Linked DNA regions of Diceros bicornis minor. The protein of the gene in region 1 purifies or fractionates together with the protein of each later gene. This does not show direct contact. Links are inferred from orthologs where the notes say so. Each region holds a gene or a part of one and is shown in the gene's direction. Other genes may lie near its edges.

The links.
Region 2: the proteins of PRPF8 (region 1) and SNW1 purify together in Homo sapiens (affinity purification with mass spectrometry; 5 studies listed by BioGRID and IntAct, with this or other methods). This does not show direct contact. The link is inferred for Diceros bicornis minor from reciprocal best matches to the Homo sapiens genes PRPF8 and SNW1.
Region 3: the proteins of PRPF8 (region 1) and PRPF19 purify together in Homo sapiens (affinity purification with mass spectrometry; 5 studies listed by BioGRID and IntAct, with this or other methods). This does not show direct contact. The link is inferred for Diceros bicornis minor from reciprocal best matches to the Homo sapiens genes PRPF8 and PRPF19.
Region 4: the proteins of PRPF8 (region 1) and SMU1 purify together in Homo sapiens (affinity purification with mass spectrometry; 3 studies listed by BioGRID, with this or other methods). This does not show direct contact. The link is inferred for Diceros bicornis minor from reciprocal best matches to the Homo sapiens genes PRPF8 and SMU1.

Annotation. Positions count from the first base shown.
Region 1 is NC_080757.1:16,064,510-16,072,470, forward strand, and holds the start of PRPF8 (pre-mRNA-processing-splicing factor 8), read left to right. Parts: upstream 1-4,915; 5' UTR 4,916-4,966; intron 4,967-5,157; 5' UTR 5,158-5,168; coding exon 5,169-5,268; intron 5,269-5,745; coding exon 5,746-5,914; intron 5,915-6,918; coding exon 6,919-7,083; intron 7,084-7,172; coding exon 7,173-7,391; intron 7,392-7,523; coding exon 7,524-7,736; intron 7,737-7,862; coding exon 7,863-7,961. UniProt on the Homo sapiens protein: Plays a role in pre-mRNA splicing as core component of precatalytic, catalytic and postcatalytic spliceosomal complexes, both of the predominant U2-type spliceosome and the minor U12-type spliceosome.
Region 2 is NC_080763.1:25,536,463-25,544,435, reverse strand, and holds the start of SNW1 (SNW domain-containing protein 1), read left to right. Parts: upstream 1-4,855; 5' UTR 4,856-4,912; coding exon 4,913-4,926; intron 4,927-4,976; coding exon of another isoform or gene 4,977-5,225; exon of another isoform or gene 5,226-5,519; intron 5,520-7,973. Other genes in the region: ADCK1 (aarF domain-containing protein kinase 1), read right to left, coding at 1,608-1,689, 4,977-5,225. UniProt on the Homo sapiens protein: Involved in pre-mRNA splicing as component of the spliceosome. As a component of the minor spliceosome, involved in the splicing of U12-type introns in pre-mRNAs.
Region 3 is NC_080770.1:12,513,301-12,521,391, forward strand, and holds the start of PRPF19 (pre-mRNA-processing factor 19), read left to right. Parts: upstream 1-4,988; 5' UTR 4,989-5,161; coding exon 5,162-5,180; intron 5,181-6,882; coding exon 6,883-7,032; intron 7,033-7,215; coding exon 7,216-7,292; intron 7,293-8,069; coding exon 8,070-8,091. UniProt on the Homo sapiens protein: Ubiquitin-protein ligase which is a core component of several complexes mainly involved pre-mRNA splicing and DNA repair. Required for pre-mRNA splicing as component of the spliceosome.
Region 4 is NC_080761.1:53,144,745-53,152,561, reverse strand, and holds the start of SMU1 (WD40 repeat-containing protein SMU1), read left to right. Parts: upstream 1-4,722; 5' UTR 4,723-4,798; coding exon 4,799-4,824; intron 4,825-7,626; coding exon 7,627-7,817. UniProt on the Homo sapiens protein: Involved in pre-mRNA splicing as a component of the spliceosome. Regulates alternative splicing of the HSPG2 pre-mRNA. Required for normal accumulation of IK.

The DNA of each region.
Region 1 (7,961 bases):
CTCTTGCATCATCTAACATGACAGAGGGCTTCCTTTTCTTTTTCTTTCTTTCTTTCTTTCTTTTTTTTGAGGAAGATTGGTCCTGAGCTAACATTTGTTGCCAATCTTCTTTTTCTTTTTTCTCTCCAAAGCCCCAGTACATAGCTGTATATCTTAGTTGTAGGTCCTTCTGGTTCTTCTGTGTGGGACGCCACCTCAACATGGCTTGATGAACGGTGAGTAGGTCGGCACCTGGGATCCCAACTGGCGAACCACAGGCGTCCGAAGCAGAACTCGTGAACTTAGCAGATACACCACAAGGCCAGCCCCAAGGGCTTCCTTTTCTTGAAGTTCTTTCCTGTGGGTCTCTCCCAACCTTTCCATCTATTCCTTCCATGGCTTTTTCTGGCCTCCTGTCCAAGACTGTGTGTGTCTCAAGCCTTCCTCATCCGCTTTTCTGTTATTCTTTCTTCTGTGAACTGATCCTTTCTCATGGCTCTAGTATCAACTTTGATCTGATGATTCAATCTCTCCTAGACTGCCGCTTGTGTATTTCTAGCCAGAGGACTCCCTCATTTGTATGACCCACAGTTACCTCCAAGTCCAATTTTAAACTCCTCAAGGAATGAGGAGACTGATTTAGGTGAATGAGTGGTCCATAATAACGGCAGCTAGTATTTTCTGTTCAGGTCTGTTCCTGGCTTGGTCACTTTCCTACTCAACAGAGCTTCCTCAGATTAACACAGACAGACTATATTTGACCAGTTAAGAGACCTTAAATAAGAGAAGTTCTTAATTTTTTAAGTCTTAGTCTCTTCATTTGTAGATTATTTCATTTGCACAAGTGTTTTCCAGCTTTAAAAGAAAAAGCTTGGAATTCATTGTTAAATAGGTCAAATCATGGGCAAAAGTCTTGGAATTCAACACCAGCTTTTAATTTGGCCCAAATTTTTGCATCCAACATCATCTATGCTTCTTAGCATGAGCATAGAAGATGATATGGCTATATGATTAAGAATCTGAGCTCGAGACGCATTATTTACTGTCTCCATTATTTACTGTCTGTAGGAACTTGAGCAAATGGGTCAGCTCCTCTGCACTTCAGTTTCTTTGTCTATAAAATAAGGCTAATAATAGCACCTACCTCATTGGATTATTGTGACAGTTAAATGAACTAATGAATATAAAGTTGTTAGAGGGCCGGCCCCCTGGCTTAGCAGTTAAGTGTGCGCGCTCCGCTGCTGGCGGCCCGGGTTCAGATCCCGGGTGTGCACCAACACACCGCTTCTCCGGCCATGCTGAGGCCGTGTCCCACATACAGCAACTAGAAGGATGTGCAGCTATGACATACAACTATCTACTGGGGCTTTGGGGGGAAAAAATAAATAAATAAAATCTTTAAAGTTGTTAGACAGAACCTGACACATAGTTTGTGTAATTAATCATGTGACCCAAGGCAGATGACTCAACCTTTCTGAGGCTGAGTGTCTCATCAGTAAAATGGGGATAATAATAACACCTATCTTGTAAAGCTGTTTTGAGGATTAAATTAGCTTATTTATTTATTAACTCTTCATTTTGAAACAATTTTAGGCTCATGTGGAAGTTGCAAAAATAGCACAGAGCATAAAAATAAACATATAGATCATTGGGATAGAGTTGAGAGTCCAGAAACAAATAAATGGTCAGTTTATTTTTGACAAAGTGTCCAAGACCATTCAAAGGGGAAAGAATAGTCTTTTAAACAAACGGTGCTGGGACAACTGGATATCCACATGCAGAAGAATTAATTTGGACCCCTATTTCACACCATACATAGAAATTAAATCAATATGAATCATAGACCTACATGTAAGAGCCAAAACTATAAAACTCTTAGAGGAGCGCCGGCCCAGTGGCTTAGCAGTTAAGTGCGAGCGCTCTGCTGCTGGTGGCCCAGGTTTGGATCCCAGGCGCACACTGACGCTCGCTTGTCTGGCCATGCTGAAGCTGCGTCCCACGTACAGCAACTAGAAGGATGTGCAACTATGACATACAACTATCACAAACATACAACAACAACAACAAAAAACAAAAAAATAACTCTTAGAGGAAAATGTAGGAGCATATCTTTGTGACTTGGGTTAGGCAATGATTTCTAAGATTTGATACCAAATCTTAAGCAATAGAAGAGAAGATTTGATAAGTTGGGTTTAATTAAAAACTTTTGTGCTTCAAAGAACACCATAAAGAAAGTGAAAAGATAACTCAAAGAATGGGAGAAAAATTTTGCATATCATATATATGACAGGGAACTTGTATCTAGACTATATAAAGAACTCCTACAACTCAACAATGAAAAGACAACCCAATGTTAAAATGGGCAAAGGACTTGAAAACATATTTCTCCAAGGAAGATATGTACGTATATATATAGATAATATATATGTAGTATTTTATTACAACAAGGATGAATCTCAAAATCATTATGCTAAGTAAAAGAAGCCAGTCACAAAAGACCACTATTCTATGATACCATTTATATGAAACGTCCAGATCAGGCAAATCTATAGAGACAGAAAGTAGATTAGTGGTTGCCTAGGACTGAGGAGTAGGAGGTGGGAGGAAACGGGGAGTGAGTGTTAACGGGTACAAATTTTCTTTTCGGGATGATGAGAATGTGGAACTAGATAATGATGATAATTGCATGACTCTATAAATATACTAAAAATCATTGGATTGTATACTTTAAACAGGTGAACTTTATGAAATGCAAATTATATCTCAATAATGTTGTTTAGAAAATAGTAAAGAGATTTCCTGTATACTCTTCACCCACTTAAGAATTTCTTTTCTTTTTTTTTTTTTTTGTGAGGAAGATCAGCCCTGAGCTCATCCATGCCAATCCTTCTCCTTTTGCTGAGGAAGACCGGCCCTCAGCTAACATCTATTGCCAATCCTCCTCCTTTTTTTTTCTTCCCTTTTTCTCCCCAAAGCTCCGGCAGATAGTTGTATGTCATAGTTGCACATCCTTCTAGTTGCTGTATGTGGGACGCTGCCTCAGCATGGCCAGACAAGCGAGCGTCGGTGCGCGCCTGGGATCCGAACCTGGGCTGCCAGTAGCAGAGTGCATGCACTCAACCGCTAAGCCAGGGGCTGGCCCAAGAATTTCTTACATGACAATAGTAGGACAATAAAAACCAGAAAAATGACATTGGTACAATACTATTAAGGAAGCTATAGAGAATATTAAGATTTTACCAGAGTTTATAACAATATCTGGCACATAGTGAAGCTTACGCAGGTGGTAAGGACTTCACTACAATGACGATGATGAACATAATGATGATAATGTACATAATAATGATGATGCTGGACTTTCTACTGTAGCCAGATTGATCGGCTGCTGTTTTAGAGCATGCCATGTTCGTTTCTCTTTCTAAACTCTAACTGTAGCAGTTTCCACCACCTGGGATTCTTTTTTCCTTACTCTTTCCTTATCCCATCAAATCCTTCACATCCACGCATCTCCACCAAATCTTTTTTTTTTTTTTGTGAGGAATATCAGCCCTGAGCTAACATCCATGCTAATCCTCTTCTTTTTGCTGAGGAAGACCAGCTCTGAGCTAACATCTGTTGCCAATCCTGCTCCTTTTTTTTCCCCAAAGCCCCAGTAGATAGTTGTATGTCATAGTTGCACATCTTTCTAGTGGCTGTATGTGGCCTCAGCATGGCCGGAGAAGTGGTGCGTCGGGTGCGCGTCTGGGATCCGAACCCGGGGCCACCAGTAGCGGAGCACACGCAATTAACCGCTAAGCCACAGGGCCGGCCCTCCATCAAATCTTTAAAAGGCAAAAGATTTATTCCATCTGAAGAGAAAAAGACGCATCATCAAATCTTTAATAATGCTCCTCTCCCTCCTTTGAACTGTAGAAGCCTCCATACCAGCCAGCACTTGCCTGGACTCTCCTTTGCATTTTCCTCTAGTTATTTCACCTATGAATCCTGAATTCCCAACTAAACTGAGAGGCTATATGGGTTTCATTTCCTCTGCACCTTCCACAATAAACTTGGTGTGAATTCAAAAAAATTTATCCTTAAACTAGATTCAAAGTTGTTACCAAAGGATAGAGCAAGAGAGAAAACAAGGATGGCAGGAGATGGAGAGCAATTCAGGCAGTAAGACAGGCAGAGCCTGAGGGAGTCAAGAAGCATTTATAGGGTGTCTACTATACACTCCATAGTGTAATCATTGCCAGAGAGAGAAAAGAGGAACGGAGGAGAGGAAAAAGACACCCAGCAATGTTGTTCCCCAAGGCCTCTTTTATTTTTCTAGGTTCATTGACTAACTCTTCCTTGACTTCGCAGGCAGGATTAAAATGCTCTGCCCCTGAACTCCTGTACAGGGAGTTCACGCGGCACTGTAGGAACCTGGGTTTTTGCCTGCCTTCCCGCTACCCTGTGAGCTCCGTAATGTTGGCTTTTTCCCTGCTGTATTCCCAATCTCTGATACATAGCGGACGCTCAATAAATGATGGTTGAATGAACGAATGAATGAATGCATGAACAAAGGACTGATTGACTCAGAGCTACTATTGTACCCCAAGTCTGCATTTATGAGACTAGACACAGAATAATGTGCAAATTTTGACAAATTTATTAAAAATCTGGAAGCCTGGGTCTTTGACTGTCCGACGCCAGTCACGGATAACAGTGCGAGGTCGCCTAGAGACCGGAGACAGCCCCTGAAACGCGGGAGGCGGAGCTTACGGCTCCTCCGACCACACCCCTTCGCGTTCAAATCTTTCCGCCTATGGACCCGCCCCCTTCAGCCCGAAATGCAACTCTAATTGGTGAGCTCTGTAATCCATCTGAGCTCTTCGACGTCTATTGGATCCACTACTGAACTCCGGTTGCGCACTTCCCGGTGTTGGGAACGCAGAGCGGACGTAGGCTTGCCGCCATTGCGCTGCGGGGAAATCGGCCGACGGTGTGAGGGGCTTTGGGGGTGCGTGAGGGGCTTCAAGGGCCGGGCTGCGGGGGGCGTGGTTGGATCGGGCTGAGTGGCCCGAGGGATTGGGCAGTACGCACTCTGAGCGAGGCGGGACTGCAGGCCGGGGTTCTCGACGTGTTCCTGCTGCGCCTCTTGTAGGCCCGGGCCTTGTGGCTTGTTAATTTTTCCCTTCCGCCGCCCCCCAGATTCTCCGGGCATGGCCGGAGTATTTCCATACCGAGGGCCGGGTAACCCGGTGCCCGGCCCTCTAGCCCCGCTGCCAGACTACATGTCGGAGGAGAAGCTGCAGGAGAAAGGTGAAGAACGCGTGCAGGCCTGGCTACTTGGGGGCGGGTGTGCGCGTGCGCGCAGCGGGTTTGAACCCTTTCCCCGTTTTGGCAAGTGTCAAAACGTTAGGTGTCAGTTCCCTTATTAGCCCCATTTATTTTTTCGTCTGATCAAGTCTTTAAAAGCGTCTGTTATTTGCAGGCACTGATCCAACCAATGGGGATACAATAGTGATGAAGACAAACTCCTGCCCTGATAAGGTTTAAATTGCAGTGAGGGAAATAGACAATAAAAACTTAAAAAAAAAAATCTGTAACAAAAACGTCAGGCAGTGATAAATGTGATGAAGGAAAAAATAAAGCGGAGTGAAATGACGAGAATTGGCAGGGAGCACTCCAGCTGTACGCACAGCTCTCCCTCATCCAGACAGGAGCTTACCCTAGGGCAAGAGGTGGGAATGATTAGGCCAAGGGTGTGCAGTCCTTTAAACTGAGGTGTCTTTGTAGCCCGCAAATGGCAGCAATTGCAAGCCAAGCGCTATGCAGAAAAGCGGAAGTTCGGATTTGTGGATGCTCAGAAGGAAGACATGCCCCCAGAGCATGTCAGGAAGATCATTCGAGACCATGGAGACATGACCAACAGGAAGTTTCGCCATGACAAAAGGGTCTACTTGGGGTAAGGAGCATCCTGGAATTATTTCATTTGGAGCTTGGCCCCTTTCCCTTCTCCCTATCTCATAGGTCACAGTCCTGGATAGCTGCTCTGTCATTTTGGGACAGGCATCTTCTGTGACAGCCCATCTTGGTGGTTATAAGAGAAGAGGGAAAACCACTAGAATTCTGTGATAATTTCCAGATCTTCCAGTTATATTCTTTATTGCCCTAATTTTTCTTCTTGGTCTGGGACTGGAGCTTAATTTGTCCTGTTGGTGCTATGGTAAGATGTTCCTATTTTTGAATGGATTGGAGCCCAGAGCAGGACACTTTGTACATTCTTGTTGCCTGTAACTCCTCAGTGACCAGAATTCTGAGGTTCCGGATGTTTAACTCCTGAGGTGTCTATAATCTTGTTTTTCTCTGTCCCCAAGCTGATTGAGTATAGGTACAAATGCCTTAGCAAATCCCTTTTCTGTTTGGACACAAAAATGTTAGCCACTTAATGAGCTGGTCTAAGACAGACATGGAAGTTTTGTTTATTTCAAAAAAAAAGAAAAAAAAAGTGTATATATATGTTTTTTGAGAACTGTGCTAGGTGCTAGGGATATAGCAGTGAACAGGAAGTAATGGCCTTTTTGGAGCTTACGGTCTAGTGGCATGACAGATATGAGACAAATGGTTACAATAAAGTATGGTAAATATTGTATTATTATTTATGGGACGGTACAGAGAGAATAGAATGTGTGACAGCCTAAAAGCTGTCTTTAGAGGGACAGCTGTTGATTTAGAGGGACTGAAACCCAGTATTTTGGGACTGTGAAGTTTAAGAAGAAGAGTGACATAATTGGAGAGGGAGAGGCAGAGTTGCCGATCATGGCGGGCCTGTCTATGTTTGGGAGTTTGGACTTTGAGGCAGGGTTTTCCGTGGAATGTGATACTATGGTACCGTGTGGCTTCTGTGCACGGCACAGGTAACAGCTAACACTTTGTCATTTCTAATCATCTCTCTTCCTAACGTTGCAGTGCCCTAAAGTACATGCCCCATGCAGTCCTCAAGCTCCTGGAGAACATGCCTATGCCTTGGGAACAGATTCGAGATGTGCCTGTGCTGTACCACATTACTGGAGCCATTTCCTTTGTCAATGAGATTCCCTGGGTCATTGAGCCTGTCTACATCTCTCAGTGGGGGTGAGATAGTGCTGGAATATAACCATGTGTGGTGGTGGTGGTTGTGGGGCAGTGGGTAGAAACCATTGTGTGACATTGTTGGCTTCCAGGTCAATGTGGATCATGATGCGTCGAGAAAAAAGAGACAGGAGGCATTTCAAGAGGATGCGTTTCCCCCCTTTTGATGATGAAGAGCCGCCTTTGGACTATGCCGACAACATCCTAGATGTTGAGCCTTTGGAGGCCATTCAGCTAGAGTTGGACCCTGAGGAGGATGCCCCTGTGTTGGACTGGTTCTATGACCACCAGCCACTGAGGGACAGCCGGAAGTGAGTGACAGTTGGAGTTAACACTCCTGTGGGAGTTTTGGAAATCCACAAGGAGTTCTGGGAGAACAACGGGTAGTGTGGCTTGGCTAGCTGGTATACCTCCCTGATGCGGGCTCTTCTTTTTTTTCCTAGGTATGTGAATGGCTCCACTTACCAGCGCTGGCAGTTCACGCTGCCCATGATGTCCACTCTCTACCGCCTGGCCAATCAGCTCCTTACAGACTTGGTGGATGACAACTACTTCTATCTGTTTGACCTGAAGGCGTTTTTTACCTCTAAAGCACTCAATATGGCCATTCCTGGAGGCCCCAAATTTGAACCTCTTGTTCGAGATATCAACCTACAGTAAGTTGGAGAGAATAGGGATTTTAGGCACCTTGGGTTGAATAAAATCTACTCTTGATCCTTAAGATCTCCTTGTAGCTTCCAAACTCTCCAACTAGTCTGCTCATCCTTGATTTTGTACCGTAGGGATGAAGACTGGAATGAGTTTAATGATATTAACAAGATCATCATCCGGCAGCCTATCCGCACTGAATACAAGATTGCTTTTCCTTACTTGTACAACAA
Region 2 (7,973 bases), on another chromosome or scaffold:
CCACCGGGCCAGCCCCCAAAACAGCTTTTTTTCTTTTGGTTTACATCTTCTGGCAGGCAGGATTCTAAGATCTCCCTGAGGGTCTCCTCCCTCCCCCTCACTCCGCGTACAAGCCCTGCATAATCCCTGGGGCTGTGAATATGATGAGATACCAGTCCCCCTGATTGTGTTATGTTACACAGCACAGTTGACTTTAAGATAAGGAGATTATCTGGGTGAGCCTGACCTAACTAACGAGCCCTTTAAAAGCAGAGAGTTTTCTCTGGCTGGTACCAGAAGACAAAGTCAGAGAGATGTGTCCCAGTTGGCCTGGAAGACAGCAAACATCGATGGTGTGAACAACCTACAGGGGTCACGTGGGAAGGACCTGGGAGTGGCCTGTGACAGCATCCAACAAAACAGGGACCTCAAACCTACAACTGCAAGGATCTGAATTCTGTCCACAAGAATGAACTGGGAGATGGATTTTTCTCCAGAGCCTCAGCCTGATGAGAATTCAGCCTGGCCAACATTATAATTTCAGCCTTCTGATACCCTGGACAGAGAACCCAGTCATGCTGTGCCAGCCTTCTGACCTACAAAAATGTGAGCTGATAAATAGGTGTTGTTTTAAGCCACTAAGTTTGTGATCATTTGTTACACAGCAATAGAAAATGAATACATCTTCTATTCCATTACTTTTCTTAAAAATACACATTTTATGAAACCACGTCTCTGGCTCTAGGAATCCAAGGAGTGCCCTGAATCACAGCAAACATAGAGTAAATGTTGCTGATGCAGAATGAGGCTAAGAAGGCCTTTCTAACCGTAGAGCTAGTAAGAGCTAGACCAGGCATTTTTTAAATTTTATTTATTTTTTAGAACTTTTTTTTTTGTTTTGGTGAGGAAGATTGGCCTTGAGCTAACATCTGTTGCCAATCTTCCTCTTTTTGCTTGAGGAAGATGGTCCCGGGGCTAACATCTGTGCCAGTCTTCCTCTACTTTGTATACGGGACACTGCCACAGCATGGCTTGATGAGCGGCATGTAGGTCCATGCCCGGTATCCAAACTTGCAAACCCCGAGCTGCTGAAGCAGAGTGCGCAAACTTAACCACTATACCTTCGGGCCAGCCCCTAAATTTTATTTTTTTGAATTGTCATACAGTAAAACTGACTTTTTTGGTGTACAGTTCTATAAATTTTAACACATGTATAGATGCATGTAATCATCATCACAATCAGGATGCAGAACAATTCCATCACCCCAAAAAATTTCCTTACGGTGGTCAATTACTTCCTCCACCCCAATCCCTGGCAACACTGATCTGTTCTCTGTCGCTATAGATTTATCTTTTCAAGAATGTCATAAATGAAATCACATAATATGTAATCTTTTGAGACTGGCTTCTTTCACTCAGCTTGATGCCTTTGAGATTTGTCTAAGTTGTTGTGTTTATCAATAGTTCATGGAATAGCAAATTTTTAAACCTCTAGAAGTTGAAAAAGTAGACAAAAGTACCAAGAATCAAAGGATCTTGATACTTGAAAGGATCTTTTATATTATCCGGGCCCATTCTGTCCTTTTATAGACAAGGAATCTGAAATCCAGTGAGGGTTGAGGACTTACCAAAATCGTGCAGGCAAAGGTGATAGGGATACAATGGTGAGAGAGATTCAATCTTCCTTGCAGTCATGTAAACCATCAAAATCTACAAAGTGTGATAAATGTTAAGAATGCGGGAAGAACAAGTCTTATGGGAGCACAGAAAATAAACACTGTATAAATTCCTTTCCATTGCAAATGATAGAGAATCAACTCAAACTAGCTTAAGCCAACAAAATCATTTATTGGCTCACTTAATTAAAAAAGATTCAAGGTGGTGTGGTCTTCGGGCACTGCTGGACCCAGGAACTCCCATAATATTGTCAGAGATCTCAACATCTGTCAATCTCTTACTCTCCTTCTCTTCACCCTTCTGGTTTCTCTTTCTTTTTGCATGGTGGCTTTATTCTTCCCTGTTACAGGCTCTTGCTATAATGCCAGGAAAGATAGATACTGGTAACTCAAGCCTACAAACGTACAGCTTCTGATCCAAAAGAGAGACTGATGCTTTCTCTCCTGGTTGCATTGATCAAACCTCTGGCCATTCCTTCTCAGTCTCCTTTCCCGGTTCCTCCTCATCTCCCCAACCTCTATACACTGGAGTTCATTCTAGAAGCCTGTCCTTGGACCACTTCTCTTCTGTACCTACACTCGCTTTTCCTGGGTAATCTCATCTGGTACCATGAATTTAAATACCATCTGCCTCCAAAGGTCTCCAGCCCAGAACTTCCCCCCACACTTCAAACTTACATATAAACTGCCTACTTGACATATTTATTTGGCCATCTAATAAGTATTTCAAATGTAACATGTTCAAAACCAAATTCCTGATGTTTCCCCACAAACATGACACTCTTGCAGTGTTCCCATCTCAGTAAATGGCAACTCTATCCTTCTAACTGCTCAGGGAAAAACCTTGGAGTCATCCTTGATTACTCTCCTCCATACTTCACATCAACACCATCATCAAAATTTGTTGGTTATACCTTCAAAACAGATCCAGATTCCAATCTCTTCTTACCATCTCTACCACTAACTCCCTGCCTAAGCTATCAGCATCTCTCCCCTAAATTATTGCAAAAGCCACCCAACTGGTCTCCCCATTTCCTCCCTTGCTTCTTGGAGTCCATTTTTAACAAAGCACGCATAATGACCTTCTTAAAATATAAGTCAGATCTTGTGTCTTCTCTGCTCAAAATCTCCAACATAATCTCTATATACTGCAAAGGAGTGATCTCCAAGGTATTTTAATAAGTAGAAAAAAGCAAGGTGGAGAAAAGTGTGTATGGTATCTACCATTTATCTAAAAAAGAAAGAGAAGTATACAAATATATATGTATTTGTGTATACTTTTAAATGTAAGGATAAACCATAAAAAATATTTTTTTAAAGGTTATCTACAGGGAAAGGAAGGAAAAGGATGGAAGAGACAAGGTAAGAATGTAGACTTCTCTAAATGCACTACCTGTTTGGTAAATTTTGGCTTTGAAACCACGTAACTGTTTCACAAAACTATTTTTTTTAAAAAAGCAACCACTAAAAATCCAAAACAAAATGAAATAAATAAACTAACTGGGTATCAAGTTAGCCGCACAATCACACACAGAGGAATTATTCTAAGTCACTTTAAAGCAATGTAATTTGGGCCAGCCCCATGGCTTAGCGGTTAAGTGCGCGCGCTCCGCTGCTGGCGGCCCAGGTTCGGATCCCGGGCGCGCACTGAGGCACCGCTTCTCCGGCCATGCTGAGGCCGCGTCCCACATACAGCAACTAGAAGGATATGCAGCTATGACATACAACTATCTACTGGGGCTTTGGGGGAAAAAATAAATAAATAAATAAAATTATAAAGCGATGTAATTTGACTATATATGCCTAGAGAGAGATACCCTAATGACAAAAAGAATTGAAAAAAAAAATCAGAAACTATTACCACTAAGCATATGTTTAGTAACCATATTAGTAATGTTATTCTGAATACTATTTTATATATAGTAGAATAAAGCAAATGAGTAATTATGTTAATACCATTAGACCAGATTTTCAGAAGAGAAATGCATATAAAATCAAACTTAAGTAAAATCTGTGTAATCCTAAATTTGTATTGAATATATTAGTATGAATGAATGATGCATTTTCTCAAAAAATATGTTTATGTGAATTTTTTAGCTCTATCCACTGAAAAGGCAAACAATAATCAACTCAGTTACAATGAACATTCGTAGCATCCAGATTGTTTTCTCTAAATATCACTTTCCCACTTAAAAGAGGGCTCCTTGGAGAAATGGTTGATTCCAGGTCTGAGGCAGAAAAAGTACTAGATGAGCCTAGAACATCTTGTCACACCAGAAATCAAATGATCCTGGGTCGGGGGTGCTTCTGCTGCTCAAACAAGTGTTTGGCTTGGGAATATTCAAAGAGCTGTACACTTAGAATGTATGCACCTTTCTATATGTGTGCTATACTGCAATTAAAAGTTTGTTTCTACTCTTTATCAGGGAAAATTTCAAACATATACAAAAGTAGAGAGAATAGTATAATGAACATCCATTTCTCCATTATCCAGTTTCAACAATGATCAAAACTCATGGCTATTTTCATTTCATCTGTACTCCTCCCACTTCCCTCTCTCCAATATTTTGAAGCAGATTTCATTTATCCTATCACTTCATCAAAGATTATGTTTAATCCATAATCTATGTAAAACACATAATCAATCTAAAACACATACACATAAAAACATACATACATAATACACATGAGGAGTGTTCTACTAAAGGCTACTTACTAAGGGTCACACAATACCTCCCCAGGAGAGTGTTTTGGGGGATAGGTAAGGGGGTAGGGGATAGCGTTTAAAGAAAAGTTTTGAGTGTGAATGTTTTCAGAGCGTCCAAGAATTAATTCTCCATTCGCCAGTCTCACGATTTCCTATTGTTTTAAAACCCTGTCACCCTTTTATATAACGTTGCCGTCCCGGGAAGGCTCTTGTATTTGAGACTCCTACAAGGAGAACGAGACTGAGTGGGAAATAAAATAAAGCGGCTTAAAAAGCATCTCAACTTCTTTATTTTGCCTAGGGAACGCCCTCTCATGTCACAGTGTACGAGCGATGCATTTGCTTTTCTTAACCGAAGCGCTTATGCCTTTATAACCGCTCGGTCTCGTTAGATGAGAACCGAATAGGTCTCTTGTTCAAAGAACTACAAATCCCAGAAGGCCCTCGTCTACGGCGCCTGCGCGTTGCGCGCGCCTTCCTTTCCCCTCCTTGTCGCCGGGAAAGACCCGCCCCGCGGTGCTGTCGCTCGCGCTGGAAGAAGCGGAAGAAGATGGCGCTCACCAGGTGGGTTGTTGATTCGGGTCCTCGATACGGAAGGGTCTGGGAGTACCCACCTTTTTCTTTTCTCTGCCCACACTCTCCGGGCGGTGACCCGGCCTGGGGCACAGAGCAGCGTTGGCCGAGATCACGGCTAGGCCCTCCCGCCGGCCGCCGGGGCGACTAGGCCTCGCCGAAGCTGGGGTCTTTCCTGAGCGGCTTCCCGGGTTGAGTTCGCCCCCTCGATGGGGCCGAAAGCCGCGGCGTGGCGAAGAGTTCTGTGGCCTCAGGTGCCGAGGAGTCCCACGTGTTTTTGGCTTAAGCATCTTGGGGGTGTGGAGAGCGCTCCCTCGGGTCCGCGGCTCGGGTGGGCGCGATGGGGTATGGAGGGCAGTGGCTTGTTTGTCTGGGCGGAGTGAAGCGGTCTTCCGGCCGTTTGTCTGCCGAAGTCTCTCTCCCGTCTCTGTCCCGAAACAAGATTTCCTGAAAAAAAAGGGGGCCTGGCACTGAACAGAGATTTTCAAGTAGCCACAGTAGTGGCCGCTGTCCACTAATTCGCGCCGCTGCTCCGCACTTCAACTTTGAACCTTAGAATTTCTTCCGTAGGTAGAAACACTTCAGATTTTTGCTGTTCCCGGTTGCCTCGGTAACTGCATGTAAAGTGGTCCCTGCCTTTGAGAAAAAGTTGCCTAACTGGGAGATTCCAAGAAGTTACGTAACTTGCACTAGTCCGCGACCTAGCTGCCCCATCTAAGTAGAAAAACTTTCCATGGGAACGCAGCAGGAAAAGTTGTGTGTCAAAGAGGGTTATAAAGAAAGGAATCATTTTAGGACATCCGCTTGAGCTCCCTAAACACATCTCATTCTCCTCACATGTACGTTTCCTGGTTGACGACAGTTGTGAATCCTAAAAATGTTTTAATCAGAAAATTCTTTTGGGAATTACTTTTGAGTGCCTTGCGCTATCCCAGGGCTTGTGTGTATGCAAAAGGAAATCTGACAGTCTTTGGCTGCAGGGAAGATGTGGTAACAAGGCATACAGATATGAAACAAAGAACAACACAAAATGCTTATTTGTGTAGTACTAACTTACGTGCAAAAAGAAATAGATGAAGTGAGCTGAATGAACTGGAGAGTTTCCATTAGTAAATGTTACAGGCAGCAAACGTTTGAGTGCTCTCCAGGTGGGAGGCACAGTGACAAAGATTAGTAGGGTTATGAGGAAAGGTTTTGTGGAAAAGGTGGAATTTGAGAAAGACACACAGGAAAAATACCAGAGATGTTGTGGGTACTGTGTGCTTAAAATTACAGTGGCAGAGTGCAATCTTTAAATGGCTAGTCTAGGGGACTACATAGCTTTCTGATTTTGTTGAGTTAGTTCTGACTGATCTGGTTTTTAGAGATGGTCTCAAGTTTCCAGGTGAAGTGTTGTTATCTCCAAGATTTACCAGGGATTCTTAACAGCAGGGACTTGACATACTGATGTGTTGCAGTCTTGGTGTCACCCGTGATTGTTACTAACTAAAGATTTAAGGTCATACTGAGGGGCCAGCCCAGTGACGTAGTGGTTAAGTTCGCACATTCTGCTTAGGCAGCCCTGGGTTCACCAGTTCAGATCCTGGGCGTGGGACCTACTCACTGCTCATCAAGCCATGCTGAGGCAGCTTCCCACGTAGAAGAACTAGAAGGACCTACAACTAGGATATACAACTATGTACGGGGACTTTGAGGAGAAAAAAGAAAAAGAGGAAGATTGGCAACAGATGTTAGCTCAGGGCCAATCTTCCTCAAAAAAAAAAATAAAGTCATACTGAGATGGTAATTAGTCTTTAGGTGATGGACATGATGTAATCTACACAGAAATTGAAATATAATGATATATACCTGAAATTTATATAATGTTATATACGAGTGTTACCTCAATTTAAATAAAGTCATATTGATTTAATTTTCTAAATTCAAGTGTTTTTAAGGTTATGTATCTAATAATATCGCTTGCATTTAATATACTTTCTTTAGTAAAGGGGAAAGGGTAGACCAAAATGTCTTAACAGTGGCACTATTGACGTTTTGGAGTGGATAGTTCATTCTTGCATGGGGCTGTCCTGTGCGTGGTGAGATGTTTGGCAGCATCTTTGGCCTCTACCCACTAGATACCACTGGCATCATCACCCTCGTCCCGCCCCTTACCCCCAAGTCCTGACCATCAGAATGTCTCCAGATATTGTCAAATAGCTGCATTGTAGATATTTTGCCCCCAGTTGAGAACCACTCGGGTAGACTTTCTCCTTACATTCGCAGCCCCCTATGTACCCCCCTTCCCCAGGAGTGTGCCTCTTTGTGGGAATGTCATCCTTTACAGGGAACAACAAAGTTAAGACCCTCTGGAAAACTTAAGTATATTCTGACCTCAATCCAGGCCAGGTTACCTGTTTACTGGATTGTCCAAACTGTTTGCTTTGGCAGGCTGCTTGCCTTTTCATCATTTTAGTGACCAGTTCTTCCAACAGAGGGTAAAGAAAAGAAAAGAAAAATGAAATAGAAGTAAATATTTTAGCTTCTTTGTAACTGTCTTTGTCTCTGTCCTGTGTATTGGGTATATATGGTTTACTGAAAACAACTACGGTAAAAGCCCAAAACTTTTGACTCCGTTCATCCATCCATTCCTTCATTCTGTTAGTAAATATTTGTTGAAGGTCTACTGTGTGCCTGGCACTCTTCTATTGATGGTTTTACAGTATTGAATCAGCCAGGCAAACTCCTTATCCTCACAGAGCTTACGTTCTAGGAGAGACAGACTATATATGAGTAAACAAATCAATAATGCAATCCTAGGTAGTGAATAGTAGGAGTTAAAGATGAAGGGATAGAGAGTGACTGAAAGCGTGGGATGGAGTGCTGTTTTGGACAAGGTGGACAGAAATCTGCTCTAGGGAGGTATAATTGAGCAGAGACATGAATGCTAAGAAGCAAGCACTAAAAGATCTGGGGAAGAGTTTTCTATGAAAGCACTATAGGCAAAAAATATTCTTAGTGAGTAAATAGAATATTTTATGGCAGAGGGAATAGCAAAT
Region 3 (8,091 bases), on another chromosome or scaffold:
GGCAGTGGGCGCATGCGCCGTACTTTCTCGATTACGTTTTTTTCCCCCAAGCATTCCTTCCGAGAGAAGAGTGAGATCGGAATTTCGAGCTGGGAACGAAAGTCTCTGGCAGGAAAGGAGAAGAAGTGACTACTGTATAGCTGGGCTGTAAAGTGCGTAAACTGGATCTTTGAATTTGGGATCGAAGCCTATCCGCCTCTTCAGGCCCTCGGCATTTCGGGCAATGTAGTTCTCGAGCTACAGATGCCTCCAGGGGCATTGTGGGAAATGTAGTTCTAACGAAGAGGCGCCAGAGGGCACCTGGTGTTTTGAGAAACTTTTCGCGCTAAAAAGGCACAAAGGAAAAAGGTGTTAGAGAAGAAGTTAGAGGCACACAACGCTGGGAAAATGCATCTGCTCCTTCTGAGAGCAATTCCACACCAGCACTCTGCAGATAGCTCCCAAACGTTCACTCAATTTTAAAGAAAAGGAACCAACTCCCAGACCCCATTTCTATAAAAAGGCAGCAAGCAGTACGAGGGGGAACGACCAGGGACTTGGCAAAAGGTGATCCCTTGCCTGCTTTGTGATTCTAGGCATCCCGCTTCATCTCTCTGGGTCTCAGTTATTTCAACTTTACTATAAAGTATTATAAAGTTCTAAAAATACCATTTCGCTCCACTGTAGGTGTGGAGATTCATGAAATAACGAGAGTGAACATTTTAAAAAAACATCCAAGATGCTTTGGGAATGCTTTGATCACATTGACTGCCATAGGGAGGCTGCCCCTTTGATGTTAAAACAGTTCCTGAAACCCAACACTCTAAAGCGGAACTCTTTTGTCCCCCGCTTCCTGAATCAGCCTTCTAATTCTGCCTTCTTCCCAGACTACACACTCTAGTAGCATCCAGTCTGTCACCTCTTCCAGTTGTTCCTTTCCTTCAGATGTTTCTCAGACACATCCATCCTCCTCTGGACCCTCATCACTTCCTGCATCAGCGAAGGGTCTCTGTTCCAGAACAGGCTCTGGTAGCATTCTGAGCCTCACTTTCCAGTCTTTCTAACAGTTGCAACTTTACATTTGCTTGTGAGATTTGTGATTTGTAGAACTACCAATCTCAAATCACAGACTTCCCTGTGCAAGAAACATAATTTTCTTTTTTTCCTATAAGGAGTTCATTTCTGTTCAACTCTGTTTTCCATCTAAGTGTTGTAGAAACAATCTCAGATAGTTCAGGGTTCTTCCTCAGATAGTTCAGGGTTCTTCCTACCCTTGATTTTCAGCTTGTACACACTTTTTGGAAAATTAATTAGGGCCAAGGTTGTGGGGGTGGGAATTCATTGAATCCTCAGTGTCAGTTGTTTGAGCTATATCGTCCTGCCTGATCCTCCGTCACTTGTCCACACAGGTTGCCATTTAATCTTCCTGGGAAACAGAGCTTCTTCTGGGTTATTGGCCAATGTGTCCCCTTGCTTCCCAAGCAGCAGCAGCCTTGGCGGGGGGGAGAAGGGCATAGAGTTCCTTTCTTGGGGACCCACCAACAGCTATCCCCTATGTCTCCTTTCCCAGCCTAGGGAATCTTTATCTCTTCTAGGGGGAGACTGGGAGAAATCTGAGATTGAGGTTTTTTTTTGTGTGTGTGTGAGGAAGATCAGCCCTGAGCTAACATCCATGCTAATCCTCCTCTTTTTGCTGAGGAAGACTGGCTGTGAGCTAACATCTATTGCCAATCCTCCTCCTTTTTTTTTTCCCCAAAGCCCCAGTAGATAGTTGTATGTCATAGTTGCACATCCTTCTAGTTGCTGTATGTGGGACGCGGCCTCAGCATCGGGTGCGTGCCTGGGATCCGAACCCGGTGCCGCCAGTAGCAGAGCGCGCGCACTTAACCACTAAGCCGCGGGGCTGGCCCTGGCTTGAGATTGAGTTCTTACCTGTTTAATATTTACTCCAAAATCAGTCGCCCTGAATCCTTTCTATTCCATGAGGGGCTGGCTTTGAAACTCAGAAGGCTTGAAAGGACTCCCTTTTTCCTCCATTCTTCTGTCACAGCCATAAGCTCCCCAGTATAGGGACTCCTCTGGTTTTGCTCACAGTGGAATCCCCAATGCCTAGTACAGTGCCTTACTGGCACACAATGGGCACTCAATAAATATTTGTCCAATAAATGAACCACTGCATCTCTCTCCTTCCAGTCTGTCCTCCAACCCATCCAGTGAGTGTCTTCCAGAGGAATCTTCTGGATGTGTGGTTATCTCTCCATAGCTCAACTGCTCTTCTGCTGCCAGCCCAATCAAGTCTAACCACCTCTGCTTCAAGGCTCCACGTAAATGGATCCATTTTATTTCCTACCATGTCCAAGTACGGAAGACGCCTGGCCTGTCAGGCAGCCTGTCATCCAACCAACAATAGTTATGAAGTTCCTGCTATGTGTCAGGCACCATGTTAGACTCTCAGAAACAACAGTGGCTAGAACAACTATGGTTCTGCCATCATGGAGTTTACAGTTGAATGGAGAACCCAGACATCGAACAGATACTTGTAAATAATTAAATGATTCTAGTTATCCAGAGTGGCCCAGAGGAGAATTACAGCGTGCTGTGGGGACCAAACTTCAGTCAGGGGTCAAGAAAAACGCGCCAGAGGAAGTGCCATTTAAGGCGAGACTGGTGTTTACATTGGAGGGGATGGGAGGGGAGGAGAAGAAAAGAGGGAGTTGGGGAAAGTGTTCCAGACAAAAATACTGGAACCAGCCAGAGTGGGTAAGTTTGAGGACTTAAAAGGCCAGTATGGCAGGAGAGAAGTTGAGGTGAGACTGTGAGGGTCAGAATGGGCCAGATGGTGCAGGACGTGGGGGTGAGTTTCCTCTGCCAGAACCACTCTCCCTCATTCAGGTCTCAGCAAAAGTGTCACCTCCTCGGAGATGCCCTCCCTGAATATCCTGCCTAAAATAGTCCATCCCTCTGATCCATCCTATCCACCTTACTCTGATTTGTTTTATTCTTAGCACTTACTCTCTGGAATTTTCTTCTTATGTGCTGATTGTCTATGCTGCCCCACCCCCCAAACCCAATGTAAGCACCAAGAGAGCAGAAACCTTGTCTTTCTTGTTCATCATTTGTATCTCCAGTTATCAGAACACGGCCTGGCACCTAGGAGGCACCCAACCAGTATTTGCTGAATGAATGAAAAGCCTGGGGAGTATCGGGAATAGAGTTTTCATTGAAAGTAGATCACTGGCTCTTCTGAGGAAAGTGGATTAGAAGGGGGCCAGGCTGGGATCAAGAAGACCAATTAGGATGCTATTTTATTGGTGCAGGGGAGAGATGATAGTAGTTTGGACAATCTTGCTTGGCTTTAGGGATAATGATAACAAACATGAATATTTATATTGTACTTACTATGTGTCAGGCTTAGTTCAAAGCATTTTTTTAAACATTAACTCCTCACAACAACCCTGTGAGTTAATTCAACCCTTGTTATCACTCCCTCCATTTTACAGATGAGGAAATTAAGGCAGAGAAGTTCACACAGCTTACTAGCTGAGTGGAGCTGGGGTTAGAACACAATCCGACTTTAGAGTCCACGCCTTTGGCCACTATGCTGTCTGCCTTTCATACCTGCAACTTTTCTTCTTCTCTCCAAGCTTTTGCTTATGCTGTACCTGCTCTTGAGCTGCCCTCTAGTCTCCTTCTCTTCTATCTGAATATTGCCCATCTGTCAAAGTCCAGCTCGTTCACACCTCTCCAGTGAAGAAGACTTCACTGACCACACCTGTCTCTCCTGCTGCTTTGTCTGGATCCCACACCACATGTTCTGTACATGATTCCTGAAAGTATCTTATCTTTGTCGACGTAAATAATCCGTAATCAATCTATAAATCAAAATTGGGGTGGGTTTATTACGAGCCAACTTTTGAGGACCATAGCCTGGGACCTTCCTTCCCCAAGGAAGGAGGGGCACCAGAGAAGTGGGGTGTACAGAGCAGTTATATACTGTCAAAGAGCACATATCACATATGATTGCAATGTCCCTTTTACAATAGCCACAAGATCGCCGTGTCAGATTGCCCTGCCAGAATAGCTATTGATGGACACAGAGCGTGGCAGGTCTGCTGTCTCGATGGGCGTGGCTGGATGCAGGTCTGTTCTCAAGTTGGGTGGTCACAGGATGAGTGCAGCAATCAAATCCTAGCCTAAGGAGAAATGCTTATCCTTAAGGAAATGCCAATGTGGGGGACGTTGCATCCTTATCTTAAGGACATTTACTCTTCTCTTTGGGACATGGTAAAGCAGATACACAATGCATGTTTAATGGTGACAGGCCCTTTTGGGAAAACAAACTCAGGCCTAATTAGTTTTACACCAAATGGCTTCCTCATATGCTCCAATATATCCTATTGCTTGCCATTTATTTATCACTTATAGATATCCACAAAGAATCCCACACGATCTGAGCTGGAAAGGACCTAGAAGCCATGTAGGAAAGGGGCAGAGAAGCTGATGACTTGCCCAAGATCACAGAGCAAATTGGTAGTAAACGCAGGACCAGAACAGTTTCTTGACCCGTGTTAGTTTCTCTACCTGTCTGCATCTGTACTTTCTTCACCGTGTCACCCAGCAGTGTCCCTGGGTAGTCCGAGAAACACCTGTCTCAGAATCACATGGGGCATGCACTGAAAATGCAGACTTTCCAAGGCAGGCCCAGGAATACGCATTTTAACAAGTTCGTTAGTAAATTCTCACGCACACCAAAGACTGCAAGACTCCGTACGATCCCATGGCCCGGCAGAGGGCCAGTCTCAGAAAAGCGTTGCTGCATTGCTTTGGCTTTAAATTCCAACTGCATCATGGGAAATGTAGTTTCGGCTCGCCTCTCCCCTCGCCGCGGGACCGCTTTACGGAAGGAGCCGAGTCAGTCCGGAAATAGACGAGTGCTCCCTGGCGGGCCCTTTCCTGCACGGTTGCATTCTGGGAAAGGGCAGTTTCCGTTAGGTGCTGGAGGCTGAGGCGCGCGACCGGCCGCAGTCCCACGTGAAGCGCGACGCGAGCATCGCTCGGCGGGTCGCTCCCCGCTCGCCGCGGAGCGTTCCGGAAGCCGCCGGGAACCGGAAGTGGCCCGCGGCGGCTCAGAAGCTAATCCCGGAGCTCGGTGCGAGGCGCCTCGGAGCGCGGCGACGGCGCCATGTCCCTGATCTGCTCGAGTGAGTATCGGCGGCGGCCGATCGCGGGTCGCAGGAGGCCGGAGAGCCGAGCGGGAGGATCTGGGGTCGGGGCGGAGGTGAAAGCAGGGCTCCCGGGAGGCCGGGCGGCGGCCTGTCAGCACGGGGGTCCTTCTCCTCCCCCTCAGCTGGGGGTGCGTTTGCGCAGCGCTTCACAGTTTACGTAACGCCTCAAGTTTATGGTCGCAGGCATCCCTGGGGCCAGCCACCTCGTTTACGTAGTGGGGACTGGGGCCTGGACGGGGGGAGCTGGTGCAGGAATCGGGGAACCCGAAGGCTGGTGCAGGAGCCGCCTCAGATTGGCTTTGTGACCTGGCTTAAGCCTCTGGGCCTCAGTTACCCCATTTGCAAAATGAGGGCTTTGCACTGGATGTTGTCTGAGGTCCCGCCCTGGAGTCAGAGCTTCTGCAGATTGCCAAGGTCACGCAGTGAGATGGAGGCAGTGACAGGGCTGGAAGCCAGGTCTCCGGCTCCCAACCTCATCTTGCACGACTAATAAAAACAGCGTGCATTTATGAAGCCTTTATTGGTTTACAACGCACTTCCAAGTCGGTGATCTCATTTTATCCTCCCAAGAATTCTCCAAAGCAGGAATAAAGGTCCCGGCCGGGTTTACAGATGAGGGTGTAAGGCTCCAGGAGAGTGTGGCTTATCTAAAGCTGCACAGCTAGTAATTGGCAGAGCTGGGTGATGGAGCTGGGTTCTCTGACCCTGAATCCGTGCTTTTTTCATGCCTTGTACTGTCTTTCCTTTTGGTATTTTATTGTGGCATAGAGATGTTTTCCGTTATTGTTTCATCCCGTGACTGGTCTCTCATCCTTTTCTCTATTTGCGTCCTAATTGTCAAGCCCTTGACTCTTCTCAGAACCTCTCCATAAATCAAAAAAAAGGGAGGGAATAAGGAAGGAAGGAAAATGATGTCTAGAAAGAGGAACCTTCACATTGAAAAAATTACAGGTTGCACAGTATTGTCCCATTCATTGTTTCTTTTGTATCTTGAAGAACCTCTCTTCTGTGTTCCCCACCACCATCCTTCCTCTCATTCGCTCATGTTAGATGTTAACCCAGTGCCTGCTGGGCATCTGCATTGTCCTGGAAGTCAGAGACCAGCTGTAATCCCTATGCTCAGGGGTGCACAGTCTACTGAGGCAGGCGTGTAAATGATACCTCTGTTGGGGGTTGTGGTGAGGATGAATTAAATCTCTGGAAAGTGTTTCCAATCGTGCTTGGTACCTAGTAAACACCATGTAAATGTTTTTTATTCTTATAGCACTTGTCATATTGCTTTGTAATTTCTTTGTCTAATAATCCATCTAGGCTCTAGACTGAGATTTGAGTGGCTTCATGTGTATCTCCATGTCCTGGAGTATAAGGAGTGACTAAGCATCTTTGTTCAAAAACAAGATGGGCAGGGTTATTGACTGCTCTTTAGGTGTCTCGTACGTAGTTGTTGTGCAATAATTACTTGTTGACTATCTGAGTGTCAGGAGACTGATGGAGAAGCCAGTTATGTAGCTGGAAAGCATTCTGGAGACAGGACAAAACTGGCTTGGTGTCATGTCTTGATTCCTGTGAGTTGAGTGTGGGGATGCATGGTCTTGTGGGGGCCAGTAGTGAGTGAGGCATCTCTTTGGCCCAAGGTCCCTTTCACCACCCCTGCTCACTGCCTGCCTTTTCTCTGCAGTCTCCAATGAAGTGCCAGAGCACCCGTGCGTGTCCCCTGTCTCTCACCATGTCTACGAGCGGCGGCTCATTGAGAAGTATATTGCAGAGAATGGCACAGACCCCATCAACAACCAGCCTCTGTCCGAGGAGCAGCTCATCGACATCAAAGGTGCCCAGTGGCTGGCCTCAGTCCAGGGCCATCTTAGCTCAGAGCCTGAGAGGGTGGGAGGTGGTACCAGTGCACTGGAGGAGGAGATGGTTGTGTGTTAATGCAGGCTAAAGAGAAAAGAGTGGTGGAGAGGAAGAGTCCCCGGGTTATGGATCTTCATACCTGCTTTCCCTCTCTTGGCAGTTGCTCACCCCATCCGGCCCAAACCTCCCTCAGCTACCAGCATCCCAGCCATTCTGAAAGCCTTGCAGGATGAGTGGGTGAGTCCCTGGATGAGAATTGATGTCTTCCCTACTCGAAGAGAATGGATCACTGGACTAGAACTAGGGGGTGGGAGGGATGGAGCATTAGTTTCTTTTTTGAGGGGTAGGATGATAGCAGAGGAGGAGCCCGGTTGTTGAAATCACACAGATCTGGGTTTCACGCATAGCTCCATTGCTCCCTTACCGTGTGACCTTGGTCATGTGCCTCATATCCCAGTCTTGATTTTCCTGACTGTGTGACATGGATTAGTGCCCACCTCTTAGGGTGTTGGGAGAATCAGAATAAGATTAGAGTATAAACTTTGTGACGTCAGGGACTTGTTTTATTCATCAATATGTCCTCAGCACGAGAGCAGCGCCTGGTACATAGTAGGTGCTCTAAAATATGAATAAATGAATGCATACATCTTGAGGGACTGTCTGGGACAGTGCCTGACACAATGAGGACATTCAATAAATAGCAGCAGAGGCATTATTATTCCCTTTTGGTGAGGTGACAGCATGCCATCTGAGGTTTGCTGGTAAATTAAAGACGAGGGGGATGGAAAAGAGTTGGCTCCCACTCCTGTCTGTGTGCCTGGTGTTTGGCGTGAGCTAGGAGCTCGGGAGTGGCTGCCAGCACTGGCATTCAGGGTCACTCAGATGCTGCCTGCATCACTGATACTGGTCTAGGCTGTGGCATAGGAGGCAGTGTCCTCTTATCAAGGGCAGGCTCTTCTGCTGGATGCTCCCTGCCCCTCCCCAGCCCCTCACACTGGTGTCTCCCTCTCGTAGGATGCGGTCATGCTGCACAGCT
Region 4 (7,817 bases), on another chromosome or scaffold:
ATCTTTCTGCTCTCTCAGCTAAAGCCGCCTCACACTTCTGTCTTACTCATCTCATGGCTCCCCCAACCTTAGAACCTTTCAGCTGCTCCTGCTCTTGAGTGCCTGATCTCTCCACATTTTCAGGGTCATAATTCTGAGACAGAGAGAAAAACTGACTGACTCAACTCATCTTTTTGATCCAGTTCAGGTCGTAGGATGCCGGTCAGCCTATGGTTTGTCCGCTCTGGGGTCTGGTACCTACTTCTAGTGCAATCAGTTTGGACTGGGATGGAGACTGGAGTCACATGGTATAAAACATGGTCACTATGGTTGCTCTTTTAGGTGGTGCTGTGGGTGAGGCTATCTCCTTAGAAGATGCCTCCACGATAGGCATGTGTAGCTCAGGTCGCGTCCAAGCGTCATGTCGTCAGGCTAGTCAGTCCCACTTCCTTGCCCTCCTGGGAAGGCATCTTTCCCTCCTGCTTCCCTCCAGTCCTCTAAGCCTAGACTTGGCTAGTCCACCAAGGACAGCATCTGCAGCCACCGATTTGGACATTGGTCAAAGAAGGGAGGGAAGGGCCGGGAGTCAGCGTAAATGAGCTTTTACAAGCTTGTGACTAACCGGCTGTGAGATCTGGGTGGGGCCCTTCAGTTCCTCCCCTCCACTTTCCTGTCCGTGTGATGGGACTCTTCAGTGCCTCCCGCCAGCCTCACAGAGGAGACCGTGCAGACAGGGTTGGCTGTCCACCCAACAGTCATTCCACTAGCTCCATCTCCTCTTCCTTGCAGACGATCTGCGATTGGGTTTGGATGCTCAGGAAAGTAGCAAAGTGGTCCCGTCACAGCCCCAGAGGCACATGTGCATGTTCAGGCCTGCCATGGTAATTCCATTCTCCTTGCCTGCGATGGCTTCAACTTGACAATGGACATATGATGCCGCCTTGGCTAATGTATCAGCTGAAGGAGGAAGGGTTTCTGGGACAGTTTTGTGGAGGAACTTCCCTTTTGACTCTAGGACCAGGGACTTTTTGCAGTCTCTGAAGGGAATAGGCTTATCCTTTGGGAGTTACAGGAAAGCATATTTTGTTCCAAGTTGGAACAGGTGGCTTTCATTGAAGTAGGGATATGAAAAAGATGAAGGGCCTTCAGCAGGGATGATGCCGGGATTCCTGCCCTGGGCTAGGAAGTGGGAATTAAACAGGAGGAGGTTGAGTTAGAAGACCTCTAAGTCACATCCTGCCATGAGCAAGCAGAATTGTGTGATAAGTTTTCTCTAGACTTAGCCTTTTTATCATGTTAGATGAAACTGGTCTAGTTTAATAGGAGCGGCCAAACTTTCGCCCCATTTTGGCACTCAAATATTGACCCTGTTTCTACTTCCTTTGCCCATTGGTCCAAGATCTCACTCCCCTACACCATTCCTCTTTAATAACCAGTCAGACACCTGGAGGCCTGGTTTAAAAGGGCAGCTTTTCTGTGGTTGGCCTGCCCTCTGCTGGATTAAGGAGATGGACTGCAGAGACGTGGACTTCTGGGAAGGGCCAGTTTTCCTGAAAGGGGATGTGATCAGGAGAACTGATTTCTCTTGAGGTCACTCTAGATCATTCGTTTGCCAGAAATTAGATCTAGGAGGCTGTGACCCAGCCTCTGAAGTGGGGGTGGGAAGCTTCCTGATGAAAACAGCTGCCTGGTTAGAGGTCAGAAGTTGGCTGTGTTGTGTGCCCACCCGCCTGAGTTTCTTAATCCACATATGGATGGAGAGATGAGATAGACCTCATTTGTCTAGTGTTAAAGACAAAATTTCTCAGACAAATTGATCTTTAGCAATTGTCAAAGTTTATCAACTTACTAATAAAGGATCAGCAAGATGACAAAGCATACGCTTTGGGGATGGAAAGGATATGGAAATTGATGGGTTATATAGTTGGGATACAGAAAACATATAAGCAGCTAGTTTAGGGGGGGAAAAAAACCTCCCTAGCTAGGTAAAGATTGCAGTTTCATGACATATAGTAACAAAAATGTCATAGTCAAGTCCGTTATTAGAGAAGAGACATGGATGAGAAGGGGTTTGCGATGCCAGGGGCATTGACTGTCAATCAGAGATTAAAAATTCAATACATCTAAGAAGCAAAGGATGAGGATGCATATGTGGCTGCTAACTGTAATCATAAAGTTTCATTTCTCAAGAATCATGTCTGATGATCTGATTGTCATGGATGCATAAACCACAGACACAGCCGCAAATAACAAGTTCTGACTTGAAACAGGCCACTTGGCACCGGGGATTTTCTCAAGCAGCAAGCAATGCAGATAGGATACAGTTTACACCCACCCCCAGCCCCTACCCTTGCCTCACACACCTTTTCTTCTTTAGTTTAGAGGCAATTTTTTTCCTCTGAAATTAGAACGATCAGAGTTTGAATTTTTTCACATCAATTAATTTTTCAGATAACTGACTTTTGAGTGTTTAAGTACTGTAACTTTTCTTCTTGAAAGTTTTAAAAAAGATTTTTATTTTTACATGCTTATGAAAAAAATTTTAATGATGCAGAAAACTGAAGAGAATAAAATGTTAGTCCAAATCTTATCACACAGCTGATGTTAGGTGAATATCATCCAAAGAGCCTTTACGTATACGTACAGCAGCAGACTAGATAGATGGATAGATAGAACAGGCTTATGATACTTTTTCTGAAAATCTTGAGGCTCAACATGTTTTGGAATTTGGATTTTTTTATATTTTGGTATGATAATTTGGTATATATGCTGTATATCTTATAATATCTTCCAGCAGGATCTAGGCAGTACTCCATAATTAAATATATTAACATTTCTGTGTATGAATATTCACACTAAGAGATGTTTAAAAGACTGCAAATAGCCTCTCTTGAATTCAGGACAGATTTCGCTGCTAAAAGACTTATAAAATATCTTTAATTTTCACAGCTTTTTAGATTTCAGAATTGCAGGTAAGGAATTGCGGACCTGTGCCTTCATAAAATAGGATAATATAATACATGCTATTTTTTTGGAGAAAAAGTAATCAATTTAATTGTACCTGTAACTGACTGAATAAAAAGAAACTGAAGTGAAACCAAAGGAACTGCACACTTTACATAATGTTTCTTTAACACAAGAGATATTATTTTCTAAAATGTCTTTCTAAGGTTAAAGAAAGAAGGAAAATTAATAAGAGATTGGAGTCCTTACATTGGAATCATTTCTGATGGAGATCTTCCCAACGCGTTCTCAGTTCTATTAGGCTCAAGGCCTTCCAAATATTTTGTAACATTCTGTTTGGTATCTTGAAATTTATAGATAATAGAATCTATTCACACAGAAAATGAAAAAAAAAAAAGTAATGCCCAATATATAGGAAAAGTAAAAAGAAATTAATCTGTTAGAAAATATAGTGACATGTATTTCAATATTTAAATCCTTGGGCATTACTACTAAAGACATCATGAAGCAATGAGATGCTTGCATCTATGTACAATGAACAAGTTTGGATTTAATAGGAGTCATAAGAAGAGAAGCCATTCCATTCAAAATGAAAGCAGAGGTGTGGTGGACACTGGAATGAAAACTGGTGTTAAGAAATTACAGATAAGACATTTGTATAAGTGATATAAGGAAGTGACCTTAATTGAAGTAAGAATAACATAAGTACCAGGTAGAGAAAATGAAGGCATATGCTGTTGTTGGAAATGAGCTGAGTCTTATTTTCAAGGAAGATGTTATAATAATTTTCTATGTTGTGTAATGTGATGGGATAGTGAAAGAATATCTCAGAAATCAGACACCCATCTAGATATCTCACCCACGCTGGAGCAAACATTTAGGCTCTTAAGACCTTTGAGATCTTGGAGACCATGACCTGCAAGAGTTGACGGGAAATAGAGAAAGATTTGAAAAAAAAAGCAGTCTTTAGGAGGCTACAGAGAAGTGGTGTGGCAGACGTTTGGGGACATATCAGATAAGACTAAAAGCCAACAGGAAATCTCCAAATCATTTCAATACGTAACTTTCCCAGCATAGATTTCTTATCATTGTGCTGCAAATATTTAAAAAAATTTATACAGAATGGCAATACAATATTTTTAAAATAGCTTTTATGAAATTCATTGATAGCTCTACATTTCACTTGTCTCTACTAATTTAGTAACGTATGGTTTAAAGTCTATTAAAGGGAGTCTCAAGCCTCCCTGTACACATTTGCATTTGGTTTCATTGTTTTTCCAGTAATCGAACCCACTGCTGTGAAACTCTTTCCAACTAAATACTTAGTTGGAAATGCTATAAGTAATTTAGCTCTTTACAAGAAGTGGGTATGCAAATCCTAACTGGGCCCCAAACTTTCATAACTAGATTGATTAAACTGTGTTTTGGCTTCAAACTTTTTTATTAATTTATTTATTTAAACTCAATGAACTCTTCCTGCACGTGTTGGCTAGCGGTCCATTGCTTTCGAATGTATTAGTCTCCCAGTCGGGTATTGTAAATTCAATCCTATCTTTAAATCTAATCAACTAATTACATCAAATAAAAGCAAAATTTCCAAACCAGCGCAAGCAGAAGTCTCCCCCCAGCGAGGAGTCTGGAGACTTCTCCGGAGCAGGCACATGGACTCGACTTCCGGCGGCCCCTCGAGGCTCCGCCCCTCACGTACGCCACGCCCCCTTCCGTACACAGCGCCTCCAGAGCAGGCGTCGGGCGTCGAGCGGAAGTGACTTAGGCGGCTGCCGGAGGTGTCGTTGGTGTGTTGCGCTCCTGGGCCTGAGAGTCGAGTGGGGCCTGCGCCTGGGAAGACAGCGCAATGTCGATCGAAATCGAGTCCTCGGAGTGAGTCCTGCGGTGGCGGGTGTTCGCGGAGTGGCGGGGCCGGGAGGGTGGGGGGCGGGGTGGAAGGGGCCCCGGGGGAGGCGTCCGAGAGGCTGGGGGGTGGAGCAGCATCGCCTTGCGCGCAGAGAAGCTGCTTGGATCTGGCTATCTCGGAGGCGGCCCCGTGGGAAAGTAGCGGAGCAGAAGCCCAAAGCCCCGGGGGAGGGCGCGGGGCGGGGGGAGGACGCGCATTGACTCCCGGCGCGCAGTGACTGAGCGAATTACCCATCCACTCTGGACTCCAGGCCCAAGGGGGCTTGGACTCTGAGCCTTCTTTCCCTCCCCGCCCCCCTTAAGCAGTGTGCTTCGTTTCCTCCTCTGTGCTTGCACGGCCCCTCTGCCTTCTTCCGCCCAGCACTTAGCCGGTATTGTCGCTGTCTGCCCACCCTGCCAGCCCGTGTAGGCGCCTAGGGGCTCCTTTTCATTATGGTCTCGGTGCCGAGCACACCGTAGAGGCTCCATTACTGCCTTTGGAGTGCGTGAACCACTAGCTGTTTTATCAGGCTCTGTCTGGCGCTGAAGTTTGGTTAGTGTGTGAGCTCTGTGTAGCTACAAAGGAGAGACAGAATCTGGAGATTGGGCCAGAAGAAGGGTAGATTTGGTAGGGTGGGGGACTAATGAGTGACTGAAGAAGGTCTTCAGTGAACTTCTCTAGGACTCCACCCTCCACCTTGCCCTTGCCAACACTTAATTAAATCAGCAGACAACGTTTGTGTCCTGGGTGCCAGCGAGGGAGAGGACTTGTCCTGAAGATCTGCCAGAGGAGGAAGCGAAGTTTATTCATTCAACAAATATTGAAGTCTGCTATGTACTGTTCTAGATCTTGGGGATACAGTAGTGAACAAAACAGACAACACTCCTTGCCCGTATAGAAAGTACGCTGTGATTGGGGAAGGCAAACAACAGACAAAAACAATAAGTGAAATATGAGGCTTAACAGATGGTGATAAGTGTGGTGGAGAAAAATAAAGCAAAGAAGGGTGATAGAGAGTGCTGGTGATGAAGACAACTAAGTCAGGGCGGGAGTTGGAAAAGGATCCCACGCTTTGGGGCTTGAATAACAATAGACACCGACCATTCTCCCAGCCTCGGGCTGCTGCATGCTTTTATTATCAATAATAGCTACAATTTGCTAAGTATTTTCTATGCTAGTCACACTATACGCAGTATAGTTAACCCTTTCACCAGCCCTACAGGAAAGGTATTTTTCTTAACAAATGAGGAAACAGGCATGGAGAGGTTAACTGACTTGCCCAGGGCCACAGTTAGTAACTGATGGAACTCTTATTCAAACCTCAGCCTATCTCAGAAGCTTGTAGCTCTTTATGTATTACATTGTGTTTGAAGGAAGTGAATTTGATTTTGGCCGTGTCAAAGATGAGGTCTTTGTAGAGAGGGTGTCTCATTTGGGGAGTGTAAATGGAAGTGTGCAGAGGAAGATAGTATGGTACTAGAATAGCAGGGATCTAAGCCTGGGTATCTTAAAGGGGCTGTGAGAGAAAAGATTACAGACTACAGTAATCAGTTCCCTTCTGCGGGAGTTTTTAAGAAGAGGGTGTTGTGGCTTTCCTGGCAGGAATCTATGCTCAAGAGCCACCTGCCAGCTTGAATCTTCATTTTTCCGCTTATCTCTGTTACTCGGTCAAATCCTCATCTGTAAAATGGACGTAATAGTGATACCTACTTCATAGGGTTGTTTTGAGGAGTAAATGAATCAATATGTCTCACACGCTTAGAACCGTACCTGGTATGTAGTAAACACATAGTAAACATTGGTTATTGTTTTTTGGTTATTATTTCTCCCCTGGGAAAGGGAATTGATTAAATTTCAGTCTGAAATCCCTTCCAACCAGAACAGTCTGACCCTCTGTACTAGTGCCATCCAAGAGAAATGCAGTGTGAGCCACACATACATTTAAGGAAAGAGAAGGAAAACTGTATCACAGCAGCGTACAGTGAACTTTTACAGTCTATATGAACAGATTCTTCACCAGACTTCTTGATATTAAGCCCAAGATCAAGAAATTTTAACTATATATATTTAACTATGAATAACTTACAAGTTTTCTGTCACGTGTTGAAAATGGTTGCTTATCCTCTCAATATTTGGAGATTGTCTGGGTCCTCTTTTCCTTAGAAAACTGAATCCACAATGTTTTTATTTCACTTGTTCTGAAAATTGGGTAATAAAGCTAGTGGGTAAGTGTTATTTTTGTGAATGAGGACACACAGTTTTGTTTTGCTTTTGTGTACAGTATAGCTCTACTTATTTGTGTTTAAGAAAATCTCAACTCATGTTTTTTGATTGTCGCTTTAAAAATGGAGGAAATCAACAATCATTTAGAGTATTCTGTGTCAATGACTAGATCAGGTTTAAAATATTTCACTAAAGTGTGCAACAATATAATCATAAATTAATAAGAAACTTGGCAAAATAAAAAAATCTCTGGCCTTGGAAGTAAGAGAGTCACCTTGGTACCAACTCCCTGTCTAGCTAACTGTGAGAATGGGCAAATTATTCCCCCTCTCTGAACCCCACTGCTCCTGTTTCTCAGCTGGAAGTAGGACTGGATGATCCTCAAGGTCCCTTGTAACTTAGATTCTGTGAGTTTTGGGAAAGTTGTATTCGCATGATAATGAAATGGAAAGTAGGTAGTGAGAGGAGGATGGTTGAGTAGGAGAGGTAAGCTGGAGTGGGCTTATTTTGTGGCCTCTTTGGTGAGTAAGGATCCCTGAGCCGGCTGACTTGTTTTCTTCTTTCAGTGTGATCCGTCTCATCATGCAGTACCTGAAAGAGAACAGTTTACATCGGGCGTTGGCCACGTTACAGGAAGAGACTACTGTGTCTCTGAATACCGTGGACAGCATTGAGAGTTTTGTGGCCGACATTAATAGTGGCCATTGGGATACTGTTTTACAGGCTATACAGTCTCTGAAATTGCCAGACAAAACCC